Linked DNA regions of Schizosaccharomyces pombe. Changing the gene in region 3 together with the main gene of any one other region gives a genetic interaction. Each region holds a gene or a part of one and is shown on either strand. Other genes may lie near its edges. The genes, in order: vht1, dcr2, msa1 and gos1.

The links.
Region 1: mutations in msa1 (region 3) and vht1 together harm fitness less than expected from each alone (positive genetic interaction), as found in Schizosaccharomyces pombe (one large-scale study listed by BioGRID).
Region 2: mutations in msa1 (region 3) and dcr2 together harm fitness less than expected from each alone (positive genetic interaction), as found in Schizosaccharomyces pombe (one large-scale study listed by BioGRID).
Region 4: mutations in msa1 (region 3) and gos1 together harm fitness more than expected from each alone (negative genetic interaction), as found in Schizosaccharomyces pombe (one large-scale study listed by BioGRID).

Annotation. Positions count from the first base shown.
Region 1 is NC_003424.3:4,956,931-4,963,924, reverse strand, and holds vht1 (plasma membrane vitamin H transmembrane transporter Vht1), read left to right. Parts: upstream 1-3,014; 5' UTR 3,015-3,124; coding exon 3,125-4,831; 3' UTR 4,832-5,227; downstream 5,228-6,994. Other genes in the region: SPOM_SPAC1B3.15C (vitamin H transporter), read left to right, coding at 6,209-6,994. UniProt on the Schizosaccharomyces pombe protein: Involved in uptake of biotin and desthiobiotin with the concomitant entry of protons.
Region 2 is NC_003421.2:773,047-780,037, forward strand, and holds dcr2 (phosphoprotein phosphatase), read right to left. Parts: upstream 3,726-6,991; 5' UTR 3,525-3,725; coding exon 1,995-3,524; 3' UTR 1,744-1,994; downstream 1-1,743. Other genes in the region: tal1 (transaldolase), read left to right, coding at 452-1,420; Tf2-12 (retrotransposable element/transposon Tf2-type), read right to left, coding at 5,087-6,991.
Region 3 is NC_003424.3:2,317,991-2,327,287, forward strand, and holds msa1 (RNA-binding protein Msa1), read right to left. Parts: upstream 4,836-9,297; 5' UTR 2,250-4,835; coding exon 648-2,249; 3' UTR 502-647; downstream 1-501. Other genes in the region: mix17 (CHCH domain-containing protein), read right to left, coding at 6,655-7,173; SPOM_SPAC6C3.03C (uncharacterized protein), read right to left, coding at 8,342-8,644. UniProt on the Schizosaccharomyces pombe protein: Negative regulator of sexual differentiation. Acts by repressing the transcription of meiosis-inducing, ste11-regulated genes.
Region 4 is NC_003424.3:777,832-784,878, reverse strand, and holds gos1 (SNARE protein Gos1), read right to left. Parts: upstream 3,519-7,047; 5' UTR 3,393-3,518; coding exon 2,844-3,392; 3' UTR 2,738-2,843; coding exon of another isoform or gene 2,543-2,737; 3' UTR 2,442-2,542; coding exon of another isoform or gene 2,175-2,441; 3' UTR 2,077-2,174; coding exon of another isoform or gene 1,735-2,076; 3' UTR 1,460-1,734; downstream 1-1,459. Other genes in the region: smp3 (alpha-1,2-mannosyltransferase), read left to right, coding at 1-204; atp10 (F1-F0 ATPase assembly protein), read left to right, coding at 1,735-2,076, 2,175-2,441, 2,543-2,737; SPOM_SPAC4G8.09 (leucine--tRNA (Leu) ligase), read right to left, coding at 3,723-6,347; SPOM_SPAC4G8.08 (mitochondrial iron ion transporter), read right to left, coding at 6,596-6,988. UniProt on the Schizosaccharomyces pombe protein: Nonessential SNARE involved in retrograde transport within the Golgi complex.

The DNA.
Region 1 (6,994 bases), 2.6 Mb from region 3:
ATGACTTCGTCAGTAGTATAAATTGAAAAAAAAAAATTATATATATATATATATCAATCATATATCGGTATAACGATTTTTTAGAATAAGTTAGGTGATTAGAACTTTCAATCGGAAATTTGAAGCATTAAAGACTTAGAAACAGTATTTGTGATTTTACATACAAATTTGAATTACGATAGTTCAAAAAAGGTTATTTTGAAATGTTCCCAAGTTTGAAACAAAAAAAATGAAACGCAAATAATTTGTTGGAATGCTTTGATATGTTCTCATACAGTAAAGTAAATGAAATTTTAAAAATAGTCTTGTTACAATATCTACAATATATTTCATCAGATTCTACGAATCCTAAAGAAAGTATTTCTAGCATAAACATTTAGCTTTGTATACATCAGCATCTGCTTCGACATCTGATAGATCATTGTTTCAATCATAAATGTAATGTTTATAATTTTATTTGCTAACTAATAAAAAAAAGAAATAATGATTTGAAATCAACAGATATGGGTATGATTAAAATATAAAAACTCGTGTCTCAATTTTTATCTACAAATACTTTACGTTACTAGTTTTGACAGATCTAAAAGAATATAAAAAGTAATTTATAAAAGCATTTTATACGATCTTTAAAATTTGTGAGTCAATTGGGCTGCTTAAAATACAACACAAATCAATTTTTAATATTTACGATACGTAAAGTTTTTGCAAATAAAACATCGAACAATTAAATAAATAGTTATTATCACTGCTTAAATATTACCAATCCTTTATTACTATGTGAAAAAAACTGTACTAAACCATGATTAGATATAAATTATAAATCGCTAGATACTGACAGTTAGATTATTTCTTCAAATAAAAATTTTCTTTTTTATTTTTATTCCTATTCCAAATAGTAACTAGAATGACGATCAATATCCAAAATTGTATTATTTATTAATTACCATTATTTTTTATTTTATTGTTTTTACACAGAAAACTAGTCATCTGTATTATGTAACGTTCCTTTTTCTATTTTATTTTTTAAATTTAGGTTATTAATTTCTCTTTTGTTTTCCAGGCACCAACAAATAAGCAAACGTATATTGCAATGAATGAGTTTACAAGTCAAGTGTGGGTATTGCATTTTTCTCATCGTTTTAAGCATAATCCCGTTAGTTTTTCCAACAGTGAAATTTTTTTCCATACACTCTTTTAACATTTAGTAGTTTTTGACGAAACTGGCGATTCCCACAAAGTTTACTAATCGCTGATCGCTAAAAAAAATCCACAAGGTTTCATTAGTGATCTTTTGAATTCATCCGAGATGCTCCCTACGATTTCTGTTATTTTTGCAAGCACATTCGAAACGAGCAATATTTTCTCATTCTCACGCCAGGATGGATGCAACAGATCTAACATCGTTGCTCTATTCAAAAATTCATTGTAGGGGTGATTTGCAAAAAAGAACATGCAAAACAAGCATGACATTGAAATAACAGAACTGGCAAAAGCAGTAAACGAAAAAAAAAGGGGCAAAAATTAAGAAATGAAACTGTAAATGAACGGGTTTAAAAGATAAAAAATTTGCTTAAATGTATTAATTAAACAGGGAATTTGCTGAAAAAAGAGCACTGCTCTCATACTTAACCTTCGTACTCTTATTATCGAGAAAACCAACGCTACTTGGTGAATTGATATCTTCGCCAATAGCAAATTGGATATATCATTTATCTCCAATTCATCAGCTATCCCTTGCTGAATCCACTAAAGATTAATAATGAACGAAAATAATTTCAATGAGAAGTATGAGTTTGTTGGGTAAAGTGATTTATGAACCTATGACATGTTGAATCGTGTAGTAACTTTCGTAATGAAGAAATGATATTGCCGTTCAAATTATATCCTACTAAATTTAATCTTATTACGATCAACAAGCTAAATCGTTCGGATACTTACTATTTTCATCGACATGAACTAAAACAATAACGAGTAACAACTTTGAATCGTAAACGAATTCTAAATTTTGGAGTATGTTCCACATTGAAGATCGTTAAGATGAATGGCTAAAGCAATTGATTCCTAAATAGAAATTTCTTTTTTATGCTATCTTACTACCTCATTGTTGTTAAAAATACTTTTATTTTGGAAATTAATGAAAGATAGAGCGGTATTGTTTAATGGAATTGATCTTTCCGGATCTGTCTAGATTTTCAATCCGCACTAGCGTACCAACACATTATACTTTGAAGCATTTGATTAGCGGCTTGTTCAAACACACACGTAGATGTATCACGGTATTCCATGAAGAGATATGATCGTGGAAGAAAACTAATATGGGCGGCTATCAAAAAAAGTCGACCGGCTGGAGAACTAGTTTGCAATGATGCCGAAGAATGCAAAGGAAAAATATTAGGCACATTTGAAGGCTAGGTATTTGAGAAAAGAATTATAGTGAATGATAATCAGTGATTTATGTAACAGCTCTACATAATTAAAACAAAATAAGAGATCTATATTGTCGACAAAAATAATATTAGAGAGAAAAACGACATCATATACCTTCATAATATTATAATTATTCTTAAAGAAAATATTTGAAAGATCCAAAAATCTTTATATTAGTATATAGAATACCTGTTGCTGGTGTACGTTTGAATGAACAATCGCTCAACGTTTCGACTACCCGTTTTAAAAACATCTTCATTAAATCTTAATACTACTATAGAATTCGATCTATTTCTATTTCTGAGCGAAGTTTATTCAAAAGTTTAGACGCCTCTGCTTCCATATATTTCCCACGATCTAAGCGATATTTATTTCTTATCCTTCATTTCGCTAACTTTCACAATCTAAGATACCGTGATTTGACGAGACCTGGCCGTTGCGAAATTTCATAAAGAATAGTGACGGGTTTTTTTGTATTTTAATATTTGTCGCAATCTTCATTGCAATTAAAGTAAGTTGGCCAGGTAGCAATATTGACGCCCTTCATTAGTATATATATGCGCCGTTTTTCTAATTTTCAATTCTTCGTGCTGAAGTGAACGGGGTTGTGTTGGTTAAAATCCACCACATTTAGAAAAGTATTGGAAAGCCATCACTGTCTCGATATCCATCTGTCATTCCCGAAAATTTCAAAATAATGGCTTCAGAATGGCCTGAAACATCGAGGGCCTCCTCAGTTGAGGAGAATCCCAAACTTAATATTCCTGAAATTGTCGAAAGCGTATCAGATTCAAAGCCCTCATTGAAGAATCAATTTTCGACGACAGTAATCGATTCGTCTGATCTCAATGTTTTTAACGATGGTGCGGAAACGACGGTAAAAGAGCAAGAATTTACTAGTAGCGAATTGCGAAGGTTACAGAAATTAAGATTGAAAATGGACCTTCGTATCATTCCATGTCTTTGGATTCTTTACTTTTTGTCTTGTTGTCTTCGTTTTACTGTCTCACTTTCGTTTACCATGAATACGGCTCAGGGCCACAGTCTTATTCAAACACTTTCTGGCTACTCAGCTCACTATCTCGCCTTGGGTTTGGCGTTGTTTTACGTTGGCTACATTATTTTTGAGGTGCCCTCCAACTTGATGATGGCATTTATCGAGCCCCGAATTTGGGTGTCTCGTATCCAACTCACCATTGGTGTTGTTGGTGCTTGCCATGCAGTTTTGGGAACGAAACATGGTAATGCGCAAAGTTATGTCGCTTTACGTTTCTTCTTAGGTGTCGCTGAATCCGGCTTATGGCCCGGCTTGGCTTACTACATGAGCCGTTGGTATAGGGGCAAGCACTTGGGTAAACGTATTGGTTGGTATTATACGGCTGCTCAAATTGCAGCAGCAGCCGTCAGTTTGGTTTCAGCTGGTTTCCAAAAGATGGATGGCGCTCGCGGCTTGTATGGATACCAGTGGATGTTCCTTATCTGGGGAGTCGTTGCTATTGCCCAAGCATTATCCATTCCCTGGTGGTTGCCGGCAGTTGCTTCAAAGGAGCATAGAAAGTCGCTTAGCTCGTTTATTCCCTTACCCAAATGGATGAAAACTTTGTCTCCTCAGAGAATTGGCTTCCTCACGCCTGCCGACAAATCCCTTCATTCTAGATACATTGCAGAGATGAATGTTGGTAAGCGGTGGCAATGGTCTGATTTGCTAAAGTCTTGCTTGGATCTCCGCGTATGGCCTTTTATTCTCATGTACTTTGGTATCGTCGGTGTGGGTAATGGTATCTTCAACTATTGTACTTTGATTATTGAAGAGATTAACCCCAGTTTTTCCGGTATCGATATCTCGTTGTTGAATGCTCCTATTTGGCTTGCCGACGCTTTGGGCATTGTCACTGTTATGCCATTGTACGACAGATTCCATAAGAAGTTTTCCTTCTTCACGGGATCCTGTTTGATCATCATCGCCGGCCTTGCCGTTGCTAACTACGCTCCTCGTGCCTGGTCACGCTATGGTGGTTTACTCATGATTGGATTTGGTCTTGGTCCAACCGTTCCCATTTGTATGGCCTGGTGCTCCGCCTCCATGGCCAAAACCTATGGCGATGTAGGCGTGGCTTCCAGCTTGGCCCTCGTGACGGGTTTGGGCAATTTGGGATCTGTCGTTACGACATATGCTCTTTACAGTGGCTGGCCTGGTGATCCTACCTTCCGTAAAAGTAATGATGTCTGCATTGCATTGATCGGTGTCTCCATAATAGCGTGTGGTATTGAATTTTTGCTGGATAAGACTGGATTCGGTCAATTCAACGCTAGTTTTAACAACCATGATCATGAGGTGGAAGACGAGCAAGAGATGACCGATATTAAGCCCGCGCTTCCTTCTTCCCAACAGGCTGACGCTTGACCTTATGCAAGAACGAATATAGATATGTCGAAGGAGCAAAGAACAAGACCATCCTTAGGGTTCGTATATTCTTCACTTTCCTCCGTATTAAAAGTCTCATCTACGTTTTTTTAGAACCATATTCCTATTGTTTGTTCTTTGCTACAAATTTTAATGTTGATGCTTTTTGTGATAACACGCTATTATTTTAAAAGTCGATTATGAGAGACCGGGTTTCTTGTCTTGAGAAATTTTACAAGTTGAAACAATCAACCGATCCTCGTTCTTCGTAGTTTTTTCTTTTGTTGTTTGTTTATCATTCTTTTTCTTTTATTTTGGGAATAATTACTTTGTGGTATCCTCAATGCATTCATTTTATTATTAAGTTTCTATATACACAACACATTATTTCAGGTTCAAAAATATCATTTCCTTCAATTTAAATCCCTTTTACTCTCTTTATTTATTTATTTTTTTTCTTTCTCATTATTCTAGTTATTTATCTATCACTACATTGTACTGTAACTCTACCAATTTTATATGCTCCCATACACAATCGCATCTTTGAAGATTCACTCACTACTCACTGTACCCATATCCAAGTTCTTAAGTTAATATAAAGATGCTTTTTACGAGGACCGGATTCTAAAAAATTTTGCATATTTTACGACTCCGACTGAGAACTTGGGTGACTAGCTCATTGGGTCTTCTTACCACGTTTTATTGAAAATGTGAAAAATTGCATTGTTTCAACTTTGTGGAATGGAGCGAAAATGCGCTTATTCACTCGTCAATTTGAATAACCAACAGGATGTTAGCGTAGAACGACGTGGGTAAATTGTCTCTTAATCATGACTGCGATTTCAGCTAAATGATGATGAATCGTTAGATTGAAGAATGACTAATCCAGAGCCGAAACTCCGTTTATAAGTTGAAGTGAAGCAGAAAGTTTCATTCCTCTCCATAACTTAAAAGAAGTAGGCTTTCACACTGCATTGTGGAGTGGAAGTCGAAGCATTCCCAGTTAATTGTTAGTTAGCTTAACATTACTCGTAGGATTTGTGCAATTGAGATTTTTTATAGATCTTCCCTTATTTATTAATATTGTGCTTTTGGTAGTCTGTATGAATTCTACTGCTTGAGACAATTCTTAGTTAATTTGCCTGTGGTGTATGCTAAGTTCGCTAGACTTTGTTTTACATTGATTATTTATTTTTGGATCTAATTCGGTTCGGTTTTGATTTATTTTTTAGACGTGGCTCATATTTTTTTTATTGGTCTGGTTAATATTTATTTAATCTAAAGTTATTTCATTCCTGTTTCTCCTATTTCTCCTATTTATTGTTCCGTAAAACTCACTTTACTGTTTCTTTTTTGTTGGCCTTGGAATTTGAAAACATGGACACAAACACCTTACCTCCCAAGCCGTCTATCTCTCCATCAATTGCTTCCTCTTTCCCGACCGTGAAACCCTTCTCTTCTCAAAACTCTACCACTTCGAATCCCGAGTTATCTCACATCGAAAAAGAGTCAAATGCCTCCTCCATTATAATTAGTCAACAACCGTTAAGTCCATCAAATATTTCTTCTGCCGCTCCCCTCGACGAAACCCACATTGCTACAAAAGCTTCAGCTTCTTTACGAAATAACAATGTTTCTCCTCACATTCCTTCACCCTCTTCTTTTTCTTCTTCTTCCTCCTCCGACCTTGACAAGTCCATGTTAGATGAAAAACATCCTGATTCTGAGGATATTACTGCTGTCTCTTTGTCTACGCCTCCTTTTCCCGAGAGCATCGATGTTGCTCGTTTCAGCTCGGAGGAAAAGAAAATCCTTTCTCGCATTCGAAGAAAACTCGACTTGAGGATTATTACTTGCTTATGGATAACGTATTTCCTGTCAAGAAGTGTAACGTACTCTATTTCTCTATCTCTTACCATGAACAAACATCAAGGTCATTCTCTTCTGCAGACTGTTTCTGGATTGAATTATCATACTCTATCTGTTGGCACGGGCCTTTCTTATGTTTCCTTAATTATTTTCGATCTCCCTTCTAATCTACTAATGACCCGTGCTGATCCTCGACTTTGGCTCTCTCGTATTCAAGTAACCACTGGTATTATTGGTGCTTGTCATGCTGTTCTTGGAACTAAAGGATCTTCTGCTTCAGGATTTATCGCTTTA
Region 2 (6,991 bases), on a different chromosome or scaffold from region 3:
TATTTTTCTTAGATTACTGACATTATATATTTCAATTTGGAACAAAAAAACAATCTGATTTCGACCATTTTTTAAAATTTTTCTTTTTCATAAATTTTTTCGACTTTTCCTATACTTTCGATGGTGAAGAATGCATTGAGCACAGTCTGCAGCTTCCATTTTTTTCTTCTGAAATTTTATAGTAAAATCGAAAGTTTTTCATCTGCTTAAGCAATCAATTAAATCTAGACAAACATTGCTAAGTTCTCCGCAAATTCAAAGAAACTTTGGCTGACGTACCTAAAATGCTTAAGTGGAAGTTTCCACGCTACACACAACTTAACCAGAACCTATATCCTTAGGAACACCAAGAAACTCAGAAAAGGTATGTTTGTAGTGTTTTTTAGGAAAAACGAAGTTATTTGTCTGGAAAAAGTATTTACTAACGAGTTTTTGAGGTAGTTTTATCAAAATGTCTTCATTGGAACAATTAAAGGCCACTGGCACTGTTGTCGTCTCCGATACTGGAGATTTTGAATCGATCGCCAAATACAAACCCCAAGATGCCACCACAAACCCTTCTCTCATCTTGGCCGCTTCTAAGAAGCCCCAATATGCTGCTCTCGTCGACGCTGCTGTTGACTATGCCAAGGCAAAGGGTGGTTCCATCAACTCTCAAATTGAGATTGCTTTTGATCGTCTTTTGATCGAATTCGGTACCAAGATCCTCGCTATCGTCCCTGGCCGTGTCTCCACCGAAGTTGATGCTCGTTACTCTTTTGACACCCAAACTACTATCGAGAAGGCTCGTCACCTCATCAAGTTGTACGAAGCCGAGGGCATTGGTCGTGAGCGTGTTCTCATCAAGATTGCCTCCACCTATGAGGGTATCCAAGCTGCTAAGCAACTCGAGGAAGAGGGCATCCACTGCAACTTGACTCTCTTGTTCTCTTTTGTCCAAGCTGTTGCTTGCGCCGAGGCTAACGTTACCTTGATTTCTCCTTTCGTCGGTCGTATTCTCGATTTCTACAAGGCTAAGAATAACCGTGACTATACCGCTCAAGAAGACCCCGGTGTCGTCAGTGTCTCTAACATCTTCAACTACTACAAAAAATTCGGTTACAAGACCATTGTCATGGGTGCTTCTTTCCGTAACGTCGGTGAGATCAAGGAACTCGCTGGTGTTGACTTTTTGACCATCTCCCCCGCCCTTCTTGAGCAGCTCAACAACAGCACCGACGCTGTCCCCAAGAAGCTTGATGCCTCCAAGGCTTCCAGCCTCAATTTGGAGAAGGTTTCCTACCTTACTGATGAGCCCAAGTTCCGTTTCGACTTTAACAACGACGAAATGGCTGTAGTCAAGTTGTCCACTGGTATCGCTGCCTTTGCCAAGGATGCTGATACTCTTCGTACCATCTTGAAGGCTAAGCTTGAGGCCTAAATATTTTAGCTGCAACCAGTTAGGTATACCGATTTCTTTCATTTTGTTAGGAGTTTTTTAGCTTACTTTTTTTTACCCTTTTTACTGCTAGCATTCCGTATGTTGAGGTTTCCAGATTATGATTTTAAGGATGTTATGGCAGTCTTTTTTAACAAAACACAAAAAATAAATCGTACTTGCGAGCTATAAGTGTGACTAAGCCTTTAGGTTTGACGATTGTTATATAAATGAATATATATATTTTGTATATATGTATTGCGTATGTGGATGGACATATTTACTTGTATTTTGGAATAAAATATATGATGGATCTCAACTGCAAATGGTAGAATGTGGAATTAATTATTAGCAAACACATTTCAAAACTATTTAAGTATGTAATTGGAAGAGCGTAAAAATTTCGTTAATATTAATTAGTATATTACTTCCGTAACATAAGAAATTCACTTTGAAAAGAAGGATCCCATAAAATTGGGATGAAGATTGAATAGAAAATAAAAATATCGTAAAGATAGAAGAAAAAGAAAATTATATCCTGCTGTGAAATAAGTTATATAATGAGAGGAGTGATTGTTTAAACTAAAATAGTTTGTACGTCCAGCATCAACTTACGGTCTTCAGGAGGCCATTCCAAGCGTTTCCAAGTACGAACTGCGCGCTCAACCGGGTCCAACTCAAAAACCCTTGCACGACGAACGTAGCCACCATGTCCTCCATATCCGCCAAACCCAGCACCTCCAGCAAAGCAAAAGTATGTGTTATAATCTGGATGGATTCCACAGAAATCATTTACATGGTCATGTCCTGCAATAGCAAGAGGAATACGTAAACTTTTCAAAGCTTTCGCAGTATTTGGATCACAAATGGAATAAGAACAGGGCTCTCGAAATGCACCAACAAGGTCTTCAGTCTCGCAAAACTCCTTCAGAGGGATATGCAATACAGCCATTTGAATGGGCTCGTACTTGAAATCCGCAACTTTACTAGAAAGCCACTCCAGTTGATCCTCGGTAATAGCATCGTATCCAGGGCATAATCTTCGATTTGAAGTATCTCCCTTTGTATCTAAAACGTAAATGGCAAACTTTCGGGGACTATGTAAAACAAAGTTACCAACACCAGAGACATTTCCAATCAAACCCATACTACCAGGAATCTGACTCAAAATTTTGGCAAGCTCTTCCCTCGATAAATCTCCCAAATCATCGTGATTTCCGAAATTTACAGCAAATGGGACGTTGTAATCAACAAAAGGGGACACCGCTTTCATCAAAGAGCTTCTAGCGTCGCGTGACGTGTCGCCGTTAATTAAGTCCCCAGTCAAAAGGACAAAGTCCGGTTCCTCTAACTGTAATAATTCATTCACGAAAGCAGTAGTTTTTGCATCGGCCATACAATCCTCTGCAGTCTCATACGGATAAGGATCGCGACACGGTCTGTCAGAATTTGAATAGTGCAAATCAGAAAGCTGAAGAATCTTAATTGTCTTTTTTTCTTCGTCATCATAAGTAAGGGTTACGGATGAAAGCTCCTTTCTCTTAAGCGCTTCAATAGATGGCGTCGGAGGAGTTTCACAAGGTCTTTGCGTCAATAGGACCGGCTGTCCTAAATAAATAAAGTCATTTAGAACAGCAGACCAACCCTCTCGTAATTCAACAACATCCTCACCCAACAATGTATTAAATTCGCAAATATCACCATCCGTTCCATAACGAATTTGAATACCGTGCTTGTTACGCTTTTCCAGCTGTCGATCAACATATACCTGTTCAACTAAGACAGTCTCCCCAGGAATATACAGTGCTGGTCGTTTCACGTAAAGGTAGGCACGCTTCCAAGGAATTCGGGAACGGTACAGATTCCGACTAGTACGGGCCCATTTCCAAAATTCCAAAACGGGACGACAAAAGGGAGAAAAGGAAAAGCACTCGACCAGCCTTATATCTTCGATTGGAGTGTTCAGTGAGAAGGGTCCCGACTTTGAGTCAGTGATTTCAATGGTGTTGAGCGAATAATCAACAGTCAATAATGCTATGAAAGCCGCAACTATGAAGATTGCCCTTTTACGAAGGAAATGAATAATGTTTCTCTTTGGTAGCATCATTTTGCTTAGTCTTTGAACACGAGATTAGTAATTGTAGGAATGTATTTTTAACCGAAAAACGTCCCGCGAGAACTTTTTCTTTTACGGATCAAATATTTGACAAAGAAAAGCAATATTTATATAACAAATGTGCTTCAAATTAAAAGTTTTTATGAAAAACCTGTAGAATTGACTGAATTCATGAAAGCAAAAGGATTATGTGGATATTACGGTAATGTTTACATGGTAGAAGAAGGCTTTTCAAATTAAGATTCGAATGCGGAGCACAAGAACGAATCCGTTATCTATGCCTAGCGTAGTGCAGAATACTCACTTAAGAATCGCTTTCAAGAAACTTGCTTATCATAATACTTGAAGTTGGAAAGAGCTCGGTATGTGAAGAGATGAGCTTAACGTAGTTTAGCAGGTTCTCAGTTATTCTGAATGTCTATTAAAATTCAGCATTATAGCGACTTTTCTTGTGAGTGAAAACAAACGTTAAAGCTAGATGGCATTTCGGAAGAAGAAAATTGCATGGATAAGCTCTCAGATACTCATTGACATTAATATTTTCATCTCACTTATTTTTTAATTTCTAGCGGTGAGTGTTTATATGAGAGGTACGGCAGCTCTCAAAATCTTAACAACCATTTTGGATTATATTTTAAGCTCTAACTTTTTGTTAAGTATTATTTTCTGAGAAATTCTGCTTCATACTGTAGTGGTACGAGAAAACTCGCAAATGAAAACGAATATTTCAAGGTACTATAAATCTCGCTTAATTCAAGCTTAATTTGGCCGACATTTCACATGTTGTGGCCCATGAAACATGTGTCAATAGTTGTATAACTGTGTAAGGGTACTATTGCGTTAGTTTCTTACCTGATCTGAAAAGTTTTAAGCTGCCAGCAAGTCGATATATATAGAGGGTTTTGCGGATCTTGTTTTTTTCCGGCATAATTATTGTGCCGAACCACTAAGCCGAACCAAAGAGTAATTATCATAACGCAAACTCTTTCAAAATAAAGAACCCATTTATTCTTCAACTCAAAGTTCAAGCAGAATACCTTGAAGCTTGATAATTAACAAATTTCCAAGCTGAGACTCATTCTTCGTTTAACTAATCTCACATGATGTTTTCCTCATTATTTTGGTTTTGCATATTTTTTTGAAAACTCATTAAGTGTAAGCTACGCAGTTTGGTATCTGATTTAAGGATACGTAGAACTGCGGTGAGTTTTCCTTGTGATCTATTATATTACGATACACAGGTTGTATAAGTAGCAACTGAGTATAGGTATTGTATTAACTGGGTTATAATGTTACCTATCACTAATATAGCTCATAACTGAACTGAGGAACGAGGTTCAGCAGTAGCTCTATTTATAGTATTCAGATAATATTGATCTTAATAGATTATCATTAAGATCAATCTCCATATCGTATCATACATGGTACGATATATAATTAGAACATGTGACATATAGTGATACTCAACGTAGTGTATTATAGCGTAGTGTAGTATTGCTGACATTGCCCTCCCCAAGATTTTCTATGTAAATCTGAGGATAAGTCATATGTTCTCAGATATTTAGATTATTGTTTTTAATATAATCATTGACAATTGCTTTGTCCGCTTGTAGCGCTGTAGCTAATGTAGTCCATCCTGACATAATAGTACTCGGATTTAGATTCGAAATGTACTTGACATTTAAGTAGAGTACTTGTTCTCTGTTTTTATGTTCTAGGATATGAAGAATTGTTCCAATATCAGACTCATCAATGGTAGCGTAATTGAGTTCTGAATTATGTCGATACTTTTCTAGGTGAGAAACATGAAAAGTAGATGAAAACATGTGCTTGATTGAATCTGGAAGATCCAATTCATAGTTGTTTGGACCCGACTTCTGTAACACATAGAACGGTCCTGCAAAACTAGGTGCTAATTTATTGGATTTATGAAGAAAACCTGTTTTCGTTCTTTTGACCATAACTAGGTCTCCAGGTTGAAATTCTTCAATTTCTTGTATTTTCATATCGAAATACTTTTTCATCTTTATGTTGTTTGTATTCAAGTGTTCTTTAACTGTTTGAAATACTTGGATCGTTTCCTGAGAGTTTTCGTCAGTTTTGTCACTAAAGCTAGGTAACTCTAAAGGTGATAAAGCTGGTGAATAGCGATGTACTATCTCAAAAGGTGTCATTTGAGTTGCTGAATGTATCGCATTGTTGTAAGATTGTTGCACTAGGGATATATGATCTACCCATGTATTTGGATGTGTGCTACATACACATCTTAGTAATTTCTCCACAGTTTGGTTTGTACGCTCAGTTTGTCCATCAGTTTGTGGTCTGTATGGTAACGAAAATTTCATAACGAAATTATATTTATGTGCGAAATCTTTCCACGTTTGGGAAGTAAAAATATGATCATTATCTGCAATGATTTCTTTTGGATTGCCGAAATAAGCAATAACTCGTTGATCAAACATTCGAGCTGTTTGCTCTGCTGTAATGGATTTCGTACAAGGTACTAAGATTGCCATTTTTGAAAATCGGTCAACTACCACGAAAAGTGCATTATAACCAGATGATTCTGGTAAAGCTGTAATAAAATCCATTGATAAAGATTCCCAAGGTCTTTCTGATGGGGGAATTGGTTGTAAAGGTCCATAAGGTTTATGATTCCTAGATTTGTTTATTTGACATGTATGGCAGTTCTGTACATATTCTTGTATTTGTTTTCTTATTCCTTTCCACGTAAATCTACGTAATATAATGTTTGTAAGAAGTTCAATGCCTGGATGAATCAATTTACCTTCTTCATGATACTTTTTAATAATTGTCCTAGTCAGCTGAGTATCATTAGGTAATAAGATTTGGTCTTTACTGTTAATTAGTAAGCCATCTTTGAGTTGGATATTCTCTTCCACTCGTTTGTCTTCATTGTTTAGTAAATTCAACAATTTTGTATCATTCGTATATTCTGTAACCACTTGGTTTTTAAAATCATCGGTTATCGAGATTTGATTAACAAAGTTGATACTATTGTCTTCTGAATCTTTTGGAATTGGTTCTGTTTCGTCAACAATTCTGGATAAGGCATCAGCTATGTGATTTGCTGATCCAGGTCTGTAGTTAATTTCAAAGTTGAAGTCTTGTAAAAATAATTGCCAACGAGCTAAACGTTTGTTTTCAGGCTCGGATTCGTTAGTAATGCGACCAATTAAGTTTCGATGGTCTGTTAAAATTTTGAAAGGTTCGATAGTGGATTCTAAATAGTGTCTCCAATGTTTGAGAGACTTAATGATTGCAAGCATTTCTTTGTCCGATACGCTATAATTTAATTGTGCTTTAGACATCTTTGCTGAATAGTATCCAACAGGATAGTATTTATCATCATCATGTTTTTGAGACAATACGGCTCCTACAGCGACATCTGAAGCATCAGTTTCCAGTAGAATCTTTTTACTGAAATCAAAGTGTCG
Region 3 (9,297 bases):
TTGTAAACTTATGCTTGTCCTGTCTTTATAATTTTTTTCTTTTTCTGGTTCTTTACCTCACGAACCTTTTTTTGTATTTAGTGTCTATAAGGAATATTTATATGAAACTAGTGTTTTGAGAAAGTCTAAAGCTATGAAATAGAGGTCTGTTAAAAAAAAAACTAATTTTCTTTTTTCAGTTCGCCAGTAAGCCAAAATAAAAAGTTCACGTAATATTACAGCCTCAAATTAAAAATTTCATAAAATGAATTGACTTTATATAGTATTTTTGTAAAAATTTATGTAGTGAAAATAATCAAATGGTTAGAGTGTATACGATACATGTGTGAGAACATCTATATTTGGGAGCATATATAAATAAACTTCTATCTAATATCATTATATCGTTAATGCGTAAAGTAGAGAACTGTTACGAGTTACACTAATTCGTAAAATTATATAGAAGACATATATATGAACATAATAACATTTATGACTCTAAATCTTTTAAATATAATTGCAGCCAATTTGCATCTTTTAAGTAAAATAAATTAGATAATTATTAGTGTTTTATAGAATATGTACCTAATAAAAAAAACTCCGACACTTAAGGACTGTATAAAGAAGTGAAACCTCAATCAGATAATGAAGGGAAATTCAAAATAAATCTAATTCCCATCCATAGGTGGGTTATGCGTATAATACATCGGACTGTACGATTGAGGCATAGCCATTTCTGGAGAATAAATGGGATAGTACGACTGAGGAATTGATGTGGGAACGGCACCAGGAGGAAGGGTAGCCATTGACTGGTGAAATGTTGAAAACTGATCCATGGGTGCAGGGATTGGCATCATTGCATTACGAGGTGGTGAAAATGGCGCTGGAAACATCGGATATGGATAGGAGGGATATTGATATTGAGGGGAAAATTGCTGCATTGGTCTTAGTTGACGAAATTCAACACGCAAAGGCTTTTTCTGGTGTGGGGACCTCGTCTTACCGCAGACGGCAGCATAAGCGGCTTGTTGAGAATCAAACCTTAGAAAAGCAAAAGCAGGCTTCTTGCTTTGATGAATTATTTTACAATCGATTACCTTTCCATATTTGGAAAATAGATCAACTAGTAAGTAGTGTGTGCAATTTACTGGGTCGAGTTGGCCAACGAATATAGAATAAGGATCAATCGGTGGAGGCATTGCAGCAAACATCATAGAGGGGTTCATGGGATATCCAGGCTGTTCAAAAGAACCATCTGTTGGGAGTTCGGCCTTGCCGCTTTCTAAAGAGGGTATTGAAGGTAATATACTCGGTAAGGAGCTTAAAGATTCATTAGGAGTACTGAATTCAGTAGAATTGACCAATGAGTGAGCAAAGTATGAGGGACTTTGAACCGCGGAATTTGATCTTCCCATGGTAGAAGGAGGATCGGAAGAAACTGAGAATGGAATAGGGGCAGGTGCTTTGATAACAGGAGTGTTCGACTGATCTTTGCCTTGCGACTTTCGCCTTCGACTATGTGCGTTAGGTGGAGAAAACGGGGAGGAACCTTTCTTCTTATAGTGACCGTTTTGATATGTCACATTTTCCGCCCAAAGTACAGGCCAGGCAGAATGCTTAAGCGCGGTATAGGCTGCGATTGCTTCATCCCTGTAAACAAACCGTACTAAGAAAGCGGATTGATCTGGTATTTCCGTGACATCTTCAACCTCGCCATAAGGTTCCAATAAGTTATCTATGTCTTTTTTTGTAATGTAAGGTTGATGGGGTGCAGAGGATATACGGATTGTCCTATTAACTTTGGCGCGCTCTATACGTATATGACGGCCATCCAATATCGTGTTTTGGGCTTCAGAAAGTGCTTTCGATGCATCATCAGTATTTTGAAATTGAACAAAAGAATAAGGCCTTTGCAACCAATCTTTCAAAACTTTGACATGCAACAAAGGACCCCACTGTTGAAAGTAATCTTTAACAGTGGCAGTCAGCTCTTCCTCAGACCTTGAAGAGTTTAAGCTAGCAACAAATAAACAGGCAACTGGTTTTCCACGGACAGACGACGGATTTAATACTCCACTGGAAGAGGAACTTGGGATAGGGGTGCTTGATGATGCAGTTTCCAAAGGAGGCTTTATAAAGGTAGTGGAATTATCATTTTCGGATAAAGAACCTGGGGGAATGTCTTGTAAAAGCGTTGTTTTTTCGAGTTGGGCTGATAATTTTTCGACAGGAGAATGCAATAAAGATACAGACGGAGAGGAAACAACCATTTTTAAATAATGTGTTTAAAAAAAAAGTTTGGAATGAGAAAGGATCTATAAAGGGGCATGAAACAAGGATGCCGGATTGATATCAAATTAAAAAGACAAAACTTTATACGAGATGCCTGCGCCAAAGTGGGATGGAGGTCGTATCAGTCGATTATATGGAATACAATAGATAGTTATGAGATGATGTGTCAACAGCAATCCAAAAGCTGCGTAGAAAAAAGAATGAAAAGTATTTCAACTGAAAAAGTTAAAAGTTAATTAATTTAAAATTTCCTTCAAAACAAAGTTTAAAAAAAACCCCAGAGAAAAAATTTGGTCAAAAGAAAAGATAAATAAAATTGATCAAAGAAGGGATAGGAAAAAACGAATGGGAAAACTTTTACTCAGGTAATAAAATTGCAGAAATAGGGAAAGAAAAAAACGCAAGCGTATGGTAATTTAGTGCAAAAATGCAAAGATAAAATAGAGATTATACACGTATAAATAAGAAAGAAATGGAATGGCTCTTAAAAATGACGAGTCAAAAGAAAGAAAGAAAGAAAGGATGAAGATTTTGAGAAACCAGCTGAAACAGAAATGGAAAATGAAAAACCAAAACCAGAGATAGACAGTAGGTAAACCAAACGAGACTTTGCAGTCTAACAATAGTCTAAGGAAAGCCCAAAGAATAAATATATATTTGAGTGGGGGAAACGAGTATTTCCAGAATAAGAGTCAGATGATGAGAAAAGTAAAATGGGGAATAGAAATAGCTTGCACGGTGATCAGACCGTGAAAGAAATTTCACAAAGATGAAATTTCAGTTTTTGGGTGATGGATAGAGAGAACTCTTCTCAAGTGGAAGCTAAAAAATAATTGGATAAGCTTGAGGGAGTAGCAAGTTCGAATTGAAAAAGGTGAAAGAATCAAAGAGCAGTACAATTGCAGTTGAATATCTCGAAAAGCTGAACACAGAGAAAGTTTGAGGTGAAAAAGAAAACAAATAAAAATAAAGAAGCCAGTAAACGCAACAAAAGGTGCAAGAGGAGAGCGAAGGAAAGCTCAATGGCACAGACAGAATCAGATGAGAAGAGAAGGTAAACGCAGTCTCACTAGTATTTCAAGCAATGTGGAGGTATTCGATAGATAACAAAAGAAAAGGAAAAAAAGAAAAAATGGGTGATCAGAAATGCAACAAAACTGATAAAGACAGGATGGAAGACGGGGAGACGTCTCAGCAAAAAGGAAGCAACCCACACAAAGAGAAATTGAATTTAGTATGTTAATGGAGAAAGGAGAGAATCGAAAACCCTCGAATAGCAATTGATTTAGGTGAAAGCAAAGAAGGGGGTTATTCACGACGAAGGTTTAGATCTGCTCGGAATATACGAGGAAAAGACATTGTATATCAAGACTACTTGCAAACTCGGGGATTTCAACACGTGTTCTTCATCGGTAATGTAGGCGGCATAAAAGAGGACAAGGGACATTAGGGAGCAAAACCAGACGATATGATTAACTAAAGGAGCAATACATCCGAATCCTGCTTACACTCTAATAATTAGTCAAACGACCAAGACGCTGCCTCAAATCCTCAATCTTTTAGTAATTTTACCGTTCTATTTGGGCCATATCATTTTACTAAATTCTAGCCATTCTCCTTTACCACGATTGATAGGCAATTGTCCATTCGGAAGTATATCACTACTGCCAACATTTCCCTCTCCACAATGTCTTAGATAGTGGGTTACAGGGAGTATAAGGAACAAGCTAGTATTGACAAATGATGAGACATTGAGAATTGGGCACAGGGTAATGGGCTAAAAATTGGGTGCTGCACCGAAGCATCCTTTGGTTGTGAAGATAAGCAACTACAAATTTTAGGAGTAAGTTAACAACGGCCCCATGGAGATAGAAAAAGGAAGAATGCTAAAAGTCGTGAACAAAGGCGTAATCGTCAAAGAAAGGTAAATTGCAAGCACAATGAAAAAGATGATTTTTTACAATAGGATCCAATAAAGCGAAAAAAAAAACAAATAAATAACTAAAGAAAAATAAATTGAATTTTGATTAGTATACAAAAAAAAAATTAAGCACAATCTAGATGAGCAACAAAGAAAAAAAGGGAGACCTTTAAAAGAACAAGGTGAATATGTTATATTACTGTCTGGATTAATGACTGACAAAGACAGAATACGCAAGCTATAGCCAAGCTAAGAAACGAAAAAAAAAAGAAAAGAAAAAAACAAAACAAAACAAAGGTAGTTAGTTTGTCAAGCTATGAATAAACTATTTTCGTCGTATTTTCTTGAGCGTTCTATAGACTGTTTATTCAACAAAGCAAAGCAATAGTATAATACTAGTAGTAAAAGGAGTAACAATAGGAAAAGCCAGCTTAGCGTGTACCGAGGTTTTCTCAAAAAAAAAAAAAAAAAAAAAAAAAGGAATCGCTTGCTGAGATATCGAACTCTACCCCTTGAATCTAACATTCACATGACCTTTTGTTTCTTTGTTTGTCCCCATTTCTAGATGTGTTTTTACCTTGGAATAAAGTCTCGGTATTCTAACTCCGATTGCCTATCTCTAACACTTTGTAGTGGGATGTGCAGGGAGCAAGCTAAATGCACGCACTCTGATGGAGTGAGTTCTGGATAAGTGACAGCTGAGTATAACGATAAACATCGTCGTACAGTTTAGCTTCCCTTTGAAACAAAAATTTTAAGTATGTGTAATGGTGCTTATTTATCGAGGAAAAGGGTGAATCTATAATAAAGAATGGATCGTTGGAATGTAGAAAGTAGTCGATACTTGAAAGTGAAAACAGATGTTGAAAAAATTAGTCGATGTTTAAATGTTTAAAAATAATAATAATAATACTAATACTAATTTTAATTCTTGTATTTTGCTAGTTAAACTAGAAAACTGCCAACGAAATACAAGCATACATACATATCTATATCTATATCTATATATAGATATAGCTATGTTCCTTTCCAGACACCAGTAGACTCGGTCTATATCGCCAGCATTTCTTAGACTAGGATTAGAATGGGATAAAAATATGAAAAAGGGAATGCTGAGGAAGGATGAATAAGAGTCGTTATATGTTTTTCTTTACTGTTTACTTTTTCTTTTTTTCTTCTTCTTTTCTAGCTCGCCTTTGGCCCAAATTAAGCTCATTAACCTGATGCTGTCAGATATGACTTGACACTCTCTGTGATACTACATATGCAGACAATTTCTGGACGAAACATTAAATTTTCCGATCTTCAATCAACGTTCCGAAATGGTCTACAGAAAGAGTAACAACAAATTGTATGTAGCGTTGGATATGAAAATGCACTGCGTGGCATAGCATACAATACTCTTACAAATGCGCTTGGCAAAGACGATTCAATTTAAGATTGCTGTTATGCTTACAGTATAAACCAAAGCAGCAAGAATGGAATCCCCGTCCCGTAAATTTTTTTTTCTTGGTAATACGTTAAAAGTATAACTTGGCAGACATGTCGAAACCGATCATTTGTAAATCAGCTTCTCTTAACTATCTCTAGTGGATGCAATAGTATGTTAAACTAACAAACACGAGTACATTTGAAAGACTCATAAACCAAATTCGATGATGATCCTTTTGTTGATAAACCGTTTTATGGTGGATCTTTGGCGTATCCTATCCCTTACTCTTCTTTCAGATATGAAACAAAGTAAATAATAGCCGAGGCAACCATCTATAAATCATCATTGTTTAGCTGCTTCCCCCCCCTAACATGGGACGTAAGACAATGAAAGTTTAATTTGCTTTTAATTTTCGTTTTGAAAAAAGTTTGTTAGATATGGTTCGCTTCCAACCTTCCTACTTTAATAAACAAGTCGGAACTCCAGCTAGCATAAAATCTGTGGGAGAACTCTCAAAATGCTTTGAAGAGTGACTGTATCGATTGATTGATTGATTGATGGGGTGAACTAGGTAGCTGTATGAACTGAACCATCCCTACTATTAAGAGGTATGAAAACGTACGCATGTTAAGAGAAGCTCTAACTACATTACCATACTGTTATGTACTACTCTTCTCCAAGCCAGATCATAGAACTTTCTAAAGAGCATAGATTTCATTTAATTTATTTATCAAGCTTTCTAACTACGTTCTTCGTGAACTTTTTTATTACTGGGCCATTTTAAAAAAAAAGAACTTCATTACTAAACCAAACAAAAAAAATACCATATATGATTTATTTCTTCTCGTTCTTATACTATGTCTTATACCAGGGAAACCAGTTATTATTTACTGCTTAACAAATGCTATTAGGGTTCAACGTTCTCGTTAGTAGAAACATGAAAAAAAAAATTTCGATGCTGATGCTGATGCAAACAAACTGGGCATAACTTTTATTTAATAGAAAAATAAATAAATTAGTTCATTGCCTCTTATTGTTGGTTGGACCACATGGCCTGACAAGCCTTTAGCTGTTCCAAATAGTAAGAACATTGACTGAACTCATGCTCATTTATACAATCTGCAAACATTTTAGCATCGCCCTTGCAAGCATTCTTCGCCTCTTCAGAAATAGCACTGCTGGCAAAGGTGGATGGAGGTGCTGAACCATAAGCGGCTTCTGGAACACTGTTGCTGTAACTAGATTGAGGTACACTAGTATCAGCTGGAGCATTGTTGGAACCACTTCCAGAAAAACCGCCTGTTATGACGCTGCCAACCGTGTGTCCGATAGCACTTCCAATACCAACACCAGCCGCTGTACTAACCAGATTGCCGAAGAATCCAGGTGAGCTGCCTCCTTGGACGGCGGTGGGAGGAGGAGCCTGTTGCACACGACTAGGAGCAGGAGGAGGTGCCATTGTCCTAGGAGGTAAAGCAGCAGCAGTGGAAGCACTTCTGGCAGGAGCTGCACGGCGAGGAGGAGGTGCGGCAGAACGTCTACGAGGCATCGTACTTATTTATGTGAAGAGATGGAAATGGGCAAAGGAAGTAAGAGATAAACAAAAAAGGATTAAATTTTATGAAAACTCGTTTACGATATCTGCAAAGGAATACCGTCAATGAAAGGATAAACGATATACGAGTGTTTAAGAGGCAGATGGCGGAGAGCACGAATATATATAGCGTTGCTAGAAGAAGCTGAAGAAAATCGATGAATGGAGAGAATCGTTCCGACCAAACATCGTCTTCGCTATAGCGGATTGGAAGACATGAGGTACAACTTGGATATTTGCACCACTCAAGTCGTATAGACCAGATGCCCTTGGGGTAACAGTTACCTAACAATCCAAGCTGGTTTACTAATACAAATGGATGCACAAGTTTTCAATAAAGAAAGAAAATTGCAACTTCCATCACTTTCAAAACTTTTATTTATGATTTTATCTATCATTCTCAATAATCGTAAATTTTGGACACATGTATGCAAAGCAATTTGACTTTGTTTTTTTTTTTTACGTAAAGAAACTTTTTTAGCCAACATTATTTATAACGTAGTGGATAGAATCATGTTATTATTAATTAGACGGTATATATTCCAAAAAATAAAAATAAATAAATAAATAATAAATACGATAAGTAAGGGAATATATGAGAAACAATTATATAATTGATCAATTTAACCTAAATAGATACACATCATCGACTTGGTGAGTCAGAGTATAAATGAGATTATTGGAGTTTTGTTATGCTATTGTATAAAACTATGAAGCAGCTCCAGGTTCCACACTAGTGAAATAGCAAGATTGTGAAAAATCAGCTTATATAAATGTTTCAGTTGATTTCAAATGATGTTACTCTTAACTCGTTTTAAATAAATGGGTGTATGTGAAATAACGAAGCAATTTGGGAATGCAAAATCTAATATGTACGTATTAGTTGTTGATGGATCTCTTTATATTTTTATATGGAAACACTAGTAGTCATGGTTTTAATAGAAAAGCAGTCTAGAGAGATATGTTGGAATTCGATACTTTGCATCAAAGTGTTCTATTTATTTATTTATGTTGCGTCTGTCAAGTCAAAGCACTTGAAATGACTGTTGTTGTAAAAAAAAGGAATCCCGAAGAAAAATTATATGTTTTTGAATTAATTCATTTCTATATTTATTTTTAAGAGCTATTTTTGAGTTTTGAATCCTCTAGCCAAAAAGTAGTAACTACAGTCTACACGCTCTCTTACCTTGGCCGACGGGGTATGTACAATACCAACTCGAACGGTTCCCCACATGGTTCTCCAATGTGGGATACTTGGAATGGTATTCAGTAACGATCTAAAAGTCGCAATTCTAATATTCCACCCCCACTTTGTCTCATTGGGGTCCAAGTTTTTGGATGGGAATAAAAAGCGAAACGAGCTGTAACGCTTAGCGTTAGTGAAAATAGCGATTACCACTAGCAATCCTAAGAAAAAAACATCCATCTAAACTTCGTCAATAGCAATGGTTGAGCAGTTAGAAAAAGTTATCAAAAACTTTCTTACCTATAAAAATTATTTTCTTGTCGCTTGTCAACATCTCTATTCATTTATTCACTCCCGATACATGCATATGCATTGCCGTAACGCACATGCAAGAGATGAAGCTACTTCAGTCAACGTTCATTGAGTAAATATTTGCATAGCTAAGCAATTCTTTTCTGTATCTATTGTAGTACTATGTTTGACTGAGAAATCCGCTACCGCGGAAGTTCTCCTAAATTTTGATCTTTACTGATATCATTAGCTCGATCGATCGGAGCAACTACCCTTTTTTACCTGATCAAGACAAGCAAATTCTCGAAATTCGGCTTGTTATCTATTTAAAATTTCAAAAAAAAAAAAAAAAAAGAAAAAAAACTTATGAGAGATAAAATTTGTAGCACAAAGTATGGTAACCAAGAACCAAAGATGCGTTTATTGATAGTAACAGTAAATAGCACTTCACTTGCAAGGCCAACAATACAAGACACTATGGTAATGTAGATCAGTACGTTTTCAAAGCATAAAATGTACAAATTGTTTGTTGGTAGGAAATCAATACTTATTCATACCCATCTCGTTTCTCTCATTGTTGAAAGGATATAATATCAATCTAT
Region 4 (7,047 bases), 1.5 Mb from region 3:
GCTATGCTACAAACAAGCAGTTATCTTCAAAATTTGACTATGCTGCATTACATCCCTTATCACGTTGATTTAGATGACACTGATGAGTTACCCCTAGCAGAATTGATTATGAATCATGGAATTGGAATTTTCACCGCTAAGGAGATTTGTGAGAATAACACTATTACTAATGAGTTACCAACGGTATTGAGAAGTGTGGGATAGCAACATAAAAAAATCATTTTGCCTCGTTGTGTACTCTTAAGATTGAGATTCGCTCGTCATGCTACATTTTAATACTGCAGCAATTGCGATTAGAAGTTACCGTTTTCTTGAAATGTTTCGTATCCTTATTGTTAATCCTTCTTTATTGTTTTAAGGGTCAGAAAGTTCAATACTTAACTTTTATTAAGTAAACTGATCTAATTGTTAAATTCATTGGCATTTGTTTAATTTTTTTTCTAATATATTTGGGTTTTAATTTTAATTTATTTATGAAAAGCTGAGAGAATATTTAGTTCACTAAATCTTTCGCGGTTATTTAATCGCGAAGCTTGCATTCGTTCGATGAATGATGATTAATTGTTATATGTTGATTCTATTGATCATATTGTTGTCTATTTTCTTCAGCACAACACTGTTAATCGCCTGTTCCGATCCGATCTATGACAAAACTTAGCTGATTGAGTCTTCAACTTGTCATATTCAATTCTAACCAATTTTGTTAATAATAAAATAGTACTGACTCATCCCGATATGTTCAATGTGCTTATATCATACATAACATAACGTATTAACACAGATTGGGAGCCATTTGAATTCGTTTTACGCAAACAACGACTATATTAGCTTACATACGCCAATATACTAATACTAGTTCAACGATTTATTTGTTGACGGAGAATTATTGCGCACTTAGTTATTTTTTTGTATCACTAACTACTTTAGTAGGTTCACTTTCATAAGTGGTCAACCCCCCCACATAGTACTTGAGGTAGTAGACGAAGTCATAATTGCTATTCAAGTGAGTAATGTCTTAAAGAGAATATGGACCCCCCATTAGTACTTTCTAACCCACTTGGAAATTGAAATTGCTTTGATTTTTAAGCATTATGAATTAATATAATATTAATGCGTATTAGCTTATATAAACGATTACTAAATTATATTCTCATAGTTTTTCATGCATCTACATAAACAGTCGGCAGGGACGTAAAAAGCTACTCTTTTAACTATGATTTTGTATTGTAGTACATTAAGAAGGGTAAGTAAGGTCTTTATATTGTAATCTCTACGCCCTGGTTGACAGCTGTTTTAATAAGCTAGAATTTTTCGCTAAATGAGTTTGCTTTAAACATTGAATTAATTAGAAAGGTTTGTATTGTTCATTATCTCAGCATTCCATTTCCTATCCTTACATGCACGTTCAATGTAAGTTGAAAAGATAGTATTCAATGAAAGATTCGCAATCCAATGAAAAGCCAATTTTAGTCTTGAATTATATTACAATGAAATTAAAAGGAGAAAACCTTTATCGTAGATATATACTAATGTCCAAAAACAAATTAAAAAACCAAAATGAAAATTAAGATATGAATTTTTAACGTCAGAGTACTTCCACCTGTAACAACAGCTCCTTTCTGCTATACCTATCTATTGAAGTTTATAATAATAATTAAGTTCATCCTTGCGTTTCTTAAATCGCATAATAAATTAAAGATTATTTCCCCTTTAATCTACCTATAATTGGTAAACATGGCATATAATTATTTAAAAAATTTAGTCATTCCGAGGTTGATTGTTAAGCATCAGTTCAAGTTGCGTTCTTTTAGCACCAAAAGTCTCAATGATACAAAAGAAAAAGCCCCATCTGCTCTCATTCCAGTAGGTTTACTGGTAAAACCGACGATGCTTTCTGAAGTCCAAAAGCCAACATTATGGGAAAAACTTACCAAACCCGCGAGTACATCTTCTCCTGAGCAAAGACAGAAGGAGCTGCTGAATGAAATGAAGAGATCAACTATTCAAGATTTCAACGAAGTTCGTCGATTTAATGGTAAGCTGTTTTACAGTCCTCCAAGATTATTTAAGGAGAAGGTATGAACAATTGGTTAAAAGTAATATTCATTTCTGGAAATTTCAAATAAGAATGAAAAAAAATTAGTTTATTGCTTAAAAATATTGACACGTTTTAGAGCGCCTTATGGATGTACAACTTTCATGGGAAGTCATTACGAAATCAGTACAAAGAGCTATATAAAGATTGGCAAGGCTCGCCCTTTTTCTTTGCATTATTTAGCAACGCGTTTGGAGAAAACCAATGTAGGAATTGGATTCAACATCTAGCTCCATTTGATTATCTGCCAGTTCGTTATGCAAATGTTCAATCCAATCTAATAAAATATTGGCTACAGAAGATATTTATAGGAAAAGTTAAAAGATCAATACCAGAAAAGTGCTGGGTAAGTAGACGCATTATTTGTCCAAGCTGCTCACAAGTTTGTTCGCTTGATAAGATAGATTTATTTACTTCCAAAATTTATAACCTTTTGCTAACTAGCAGAATGAATATATTACAGCATACGACAATAAGTTCAGTTTCCCAGAAATAGGATGGAACAACAAACTTGTTGGAAATGTGTATTTAATTGACGATTCCTGCAAAATTCGCTGGCTTGGAACCGGTGATCCAACTAATGTCGAAATTGAAAACCTGAAGACAGCGATTAAGTTTTTGGTAAATAAAAACGTTGGTTAAAAGTAAAAGGACTTTTATATTATTTCATCTTAATTAAACCTTTATGACATATTCATAACTTTGGCGGGATCAATGCCCTTCATAAACGTTTCATAAAACATGCAACTTAATGAAAAAAAAGGAACAAAAGCATCAAGACAGATATGAGTAAAGCTAAAATGATAGAATCACGTCTTCGACGGATCGAGGTTTTCCTTAATATTTGATTAATAAAAGGGATTGACATGGCCGCCCCGTTTATGCGATTGGTCACATTTCCTAAGACGCTATTTTGGTAATCAAAGTCTTCCCTCGTAGCATAAGCTCTTTCAAGAAGCTCATTAGTGCCTCTAATAGAATTGTCTAAAGAGTTTGCCTCTTGCATTTCTAAAAAGTTTTGTGCATCTCGTAATTCTTCAGGAGATAGAACTTCCTGTTTCGCATCATATTTTTTCAAAACGCCATTAAGAAGTTGCTCATCTCGTTTTAGTCTTTCAAAATGTGATTTGATAGTAGCCATTGAATGCGAGTCATTTTCGTCAGCTGAAGAGTTGGCTTCTTCAAGAAGCTTCCTTCTTTCCTCTAGCAGAATTTTAGCTTGGTTAGGATCACTGTGCAACGATCTTTGGAACTGAGACGCTTTTTTCACCGAATCTCTCAAAAGCATAGACTTCATGGCTAAAGAGATCTTCAAATTTTTATAAGAGAAAAATTAGTAGCTTAAGTTATGATTTTAAAACAAACGTTTCTCTTCTGTTGATTAATGTGGCTTTCAGATGACGTTCTTACTAGTATGTAGTTTAGAGAAGTATCCCACTACGTAGAGATTCCTAAATATACCAGTGATAGAAAAGCTATGCTACTAGAAAACATTGTGATATTAAGATAGGATATTTTTCATTCAAAATGAATTTTAAGCATTAAATTAACTACGCAACCAACATTGCATTGTTATGGTAAATATCAAAATTATTTTGAAACATGAAGCTCGTGTCTCAACCAACTTTCAGTCGGTGACTAAACTGATGATTTTTTGTTTCACAAAAGATTTTAAAACTTTTTTATTAGAGAGCCAACGTTTCCCATCATTCGTCTCAAGCACAAAATTTAGTATTTCATTTTCATCATTGAGTTTGGGCATTTCAATCTTAAATCTCACCTTACCATTAATTTGGACAGGAATAGTAACGGGCTCCTCCATATTCTCCTTTTTATTTTTGGAAATGGGCCAGTTAGAGTAAACGGAAGAATTATGTCCTAGCAGCAACCAACACTCACTTGAAAAACAAGGTATTATTGGAGCAATACATTTCACAAGCACTTCCAAAGATGCTTTAATTGTTCCGATATTGACTTTGTTATTTTTTAAAGCATCTGCTATATTATTAGTCAATTTCATGGCGTCAGAAATTACTAAATTGAGAGAAAATACATTTTCATAATGAGCAGAACATTGTGAAATAAATTCATTATATTGTGATTCGAGTTTCCTGCTATTGTGATCGTCGACAATAGTTAACTTCGTTTGTCTCATCGCATCAGACATTTTTTTCTCACGTTCCAATAACTGATGAACACAATTCCATATTTTGGTTAACCACCGTTTTGTTCCCATTATTGCATTTTCATTCCAAAGGAGTACGCCTTCCACTGGAGCTGAAAATATTATGTAAGCTCTAATAATGTCTGAGCCATATTTTTGAATAGTACGTATCGGATCTACACCGTTATGCTTGCTTTTGCTCATTTTCTGGTAAGAAAGTTGAACTTTCTCTTTAGGATTACTGATTAGAAAATATTCGTCTCCAATTTTCTGGACTTCTTTTGGATTAAGTATTCGTTCATCCGACATCGTTGTATAAGTAAGACCATGAACCATCCCCTGAGTAATTAGTTGAGTAAATGGTTCATTTAAATATTTATCACCATTCCATAACCCAATATCCTTCATGAATTTTGAAAAAAACCTGGAATATAGAAGATGAAGTATTGAATGCTCAACGCCACCAATATAAATATCAACAGGCATCAAAGAGGACGCACTTGCTAAACCTACAGGAAGCTCCGAGTTTTTAGAATCCAAAAAACGAAAATAATACCATGATGAGTCTACAAATGTGTCCATAGTATCAGTTTCTCTTGTTGCTGGGCCATGACATTTCGGACAGGTTGTTTTCATCCATGTTTCTAGATTTGATAACGGCGAAGTACCTTTTTCATATATTTTATCAAGATCAGGCAACTTTACAGGAAGTTCAGATTCAGGGACTGGGACAGCACCACAGGTTTCGCAGTGAACCATTGGTATAGGAGTACCCCAAAATCTTTGTCTTGATATAAGCCAATCTTTGAGTCTATAATTTTTAACACGTTTGGCTAATTTCTTCTCTTCAAGGTAACTGACAATCTTTTGCTGAAGCATTTTTTGCTTGATATCCATTAAATTCGAAGAATCATGATGATTCAAAAGTTCTTTTCCCTCATTTGTAAAATATGAACCTATACAACTTTCTTTAGAAAATATTATGTTATTACGCTTAGCAAACTCAAAATCTCGGCGGTCGTGAATAGGTGCGCCCATAACGGCGCCAGTACCATAACAGTCCAAAACGTAAGGAGCATAAAATATTGGTAAAGCTTTGCCAGTTACTGGATTTTTTGCAAAGCACGGGAGCTGATATCCTTTGTCTAGTAAGGATTCATTGCGAAGATGTTCTGCCAACGAAGGATCCTTTTGGGATTCTAGTAAAACAAGTTTATGGTTTTTTGAAAGAGCTATAAAACTAACATCTATTATTGTTTCAGGTTTAGTAGTGAAAACTGTAAGAGTTTCTTTATCGTTTAGCAAAGGAAAAGATATTTCAAAACCCGTAGTTCGACCAATCCAATTGCGCTGCATCTTCTTTACTTTGTCAGGCCATTTTGGTAATGTTTCAAGGTCATCGAGCAGCTGATCTGAATAGTCTGAAATTTTTAGAAACCATTGTCGAAGATTTTTCTTTTCTACTATGGCACCGCTCCTCCAGGACCTCCCATGTGAATCAACTTGCTCGTTGGCAAGGACTGTGCAATCAACTGGATCCCAGTTTACAGTGGCCTCTGCTTGGTACGCCAATCCCTTATGAAACATTTGAAGGAAAAGATATTGTGACCATTTGTAATAATCTGGATTACAGGTTGAAATCTCTCGGTCCCAATCAAAATAAATATTCATATGGTAAGTTTGTTCTTTCATTTTTTTTATGTTCTCATACGTCCAAGAACTAGCTGATATCCCGTTCTCAATTGCAGCATTTTCAGCTGGTAAACCAAATGCATCCCAACCCATTGGATGAATGACTTTGTATCCTTTCATCCGATAATATCTCGATAGGATATCGGAAATAGTGTACACCCTAACATGTCCGATATGTAGTAAACCACTTGGATAAGGGAACATACTTAGTATATACTTCTTCTTTCCTTTGTCATTTTTGACGAACGGATAATGGGATTTCCAATATGACTTCCAATTTTCAGCAATTGCCAAGAAATCTGGATTGCTGTGTATGTTTTTATTAAATTTTAAAAAGTTGCATAACGAAGCTATTTTAGGTACTTTCCGACCATTAGTACCGACGGATTTCAACATTTCATGAAACGCAGTGGAAACAATGTCTTTAAACTCTTAAATATTTTAAACAGGTATCATTAAATCAATAAATACTTTAAATTATATTCATTTACCAAAATGTTTATCCAACGTTGGTGTTGTGTTTTTAGCGAATGCTACGATGGATGTTCTAATAAGAAACTAAACTTAAACGAGACGAAGGTTATTTCACGGTATAACAAAAATAAGGCATGCCATATGAAAAAAAAACATAGAAAAGGAATTTTTTAGTCGATGTCTTTACTTTTGAAAGATTCAAATACAGACATAGAGATCATGCCTGATGGCATAATATAACACATTCGCGTAAAAAGCCCACGAGTAAAGCCTTTAACTCCATGTTTTGAGAACAGAAGTTTGGCTATTTCCAAAATCCCCAGTTCCTTTTCAGCTTGGAGGCCGTATTCAGCTTTACGCATAGCTGATGAAGTAGCCACTTGGTATCGAGTTTTAACAATGTCAAGAGGGGTTGAGATAGTAGTAGCTACAACAGTACCTAAAGCTGAACATATTGGAGCAATTACTGAGATATCCCAATTGGATTGCTTTTGTAAGTACTTTTTCGATTCTTCATAGCATACCCACCAACTAACGGTGGTAGGCAGATAAATTGCGACTCCCTATAATTTAAGTTAGAAAGAGAATTAACAAAAGATTAATCAAAAATTTGATTAAGTCT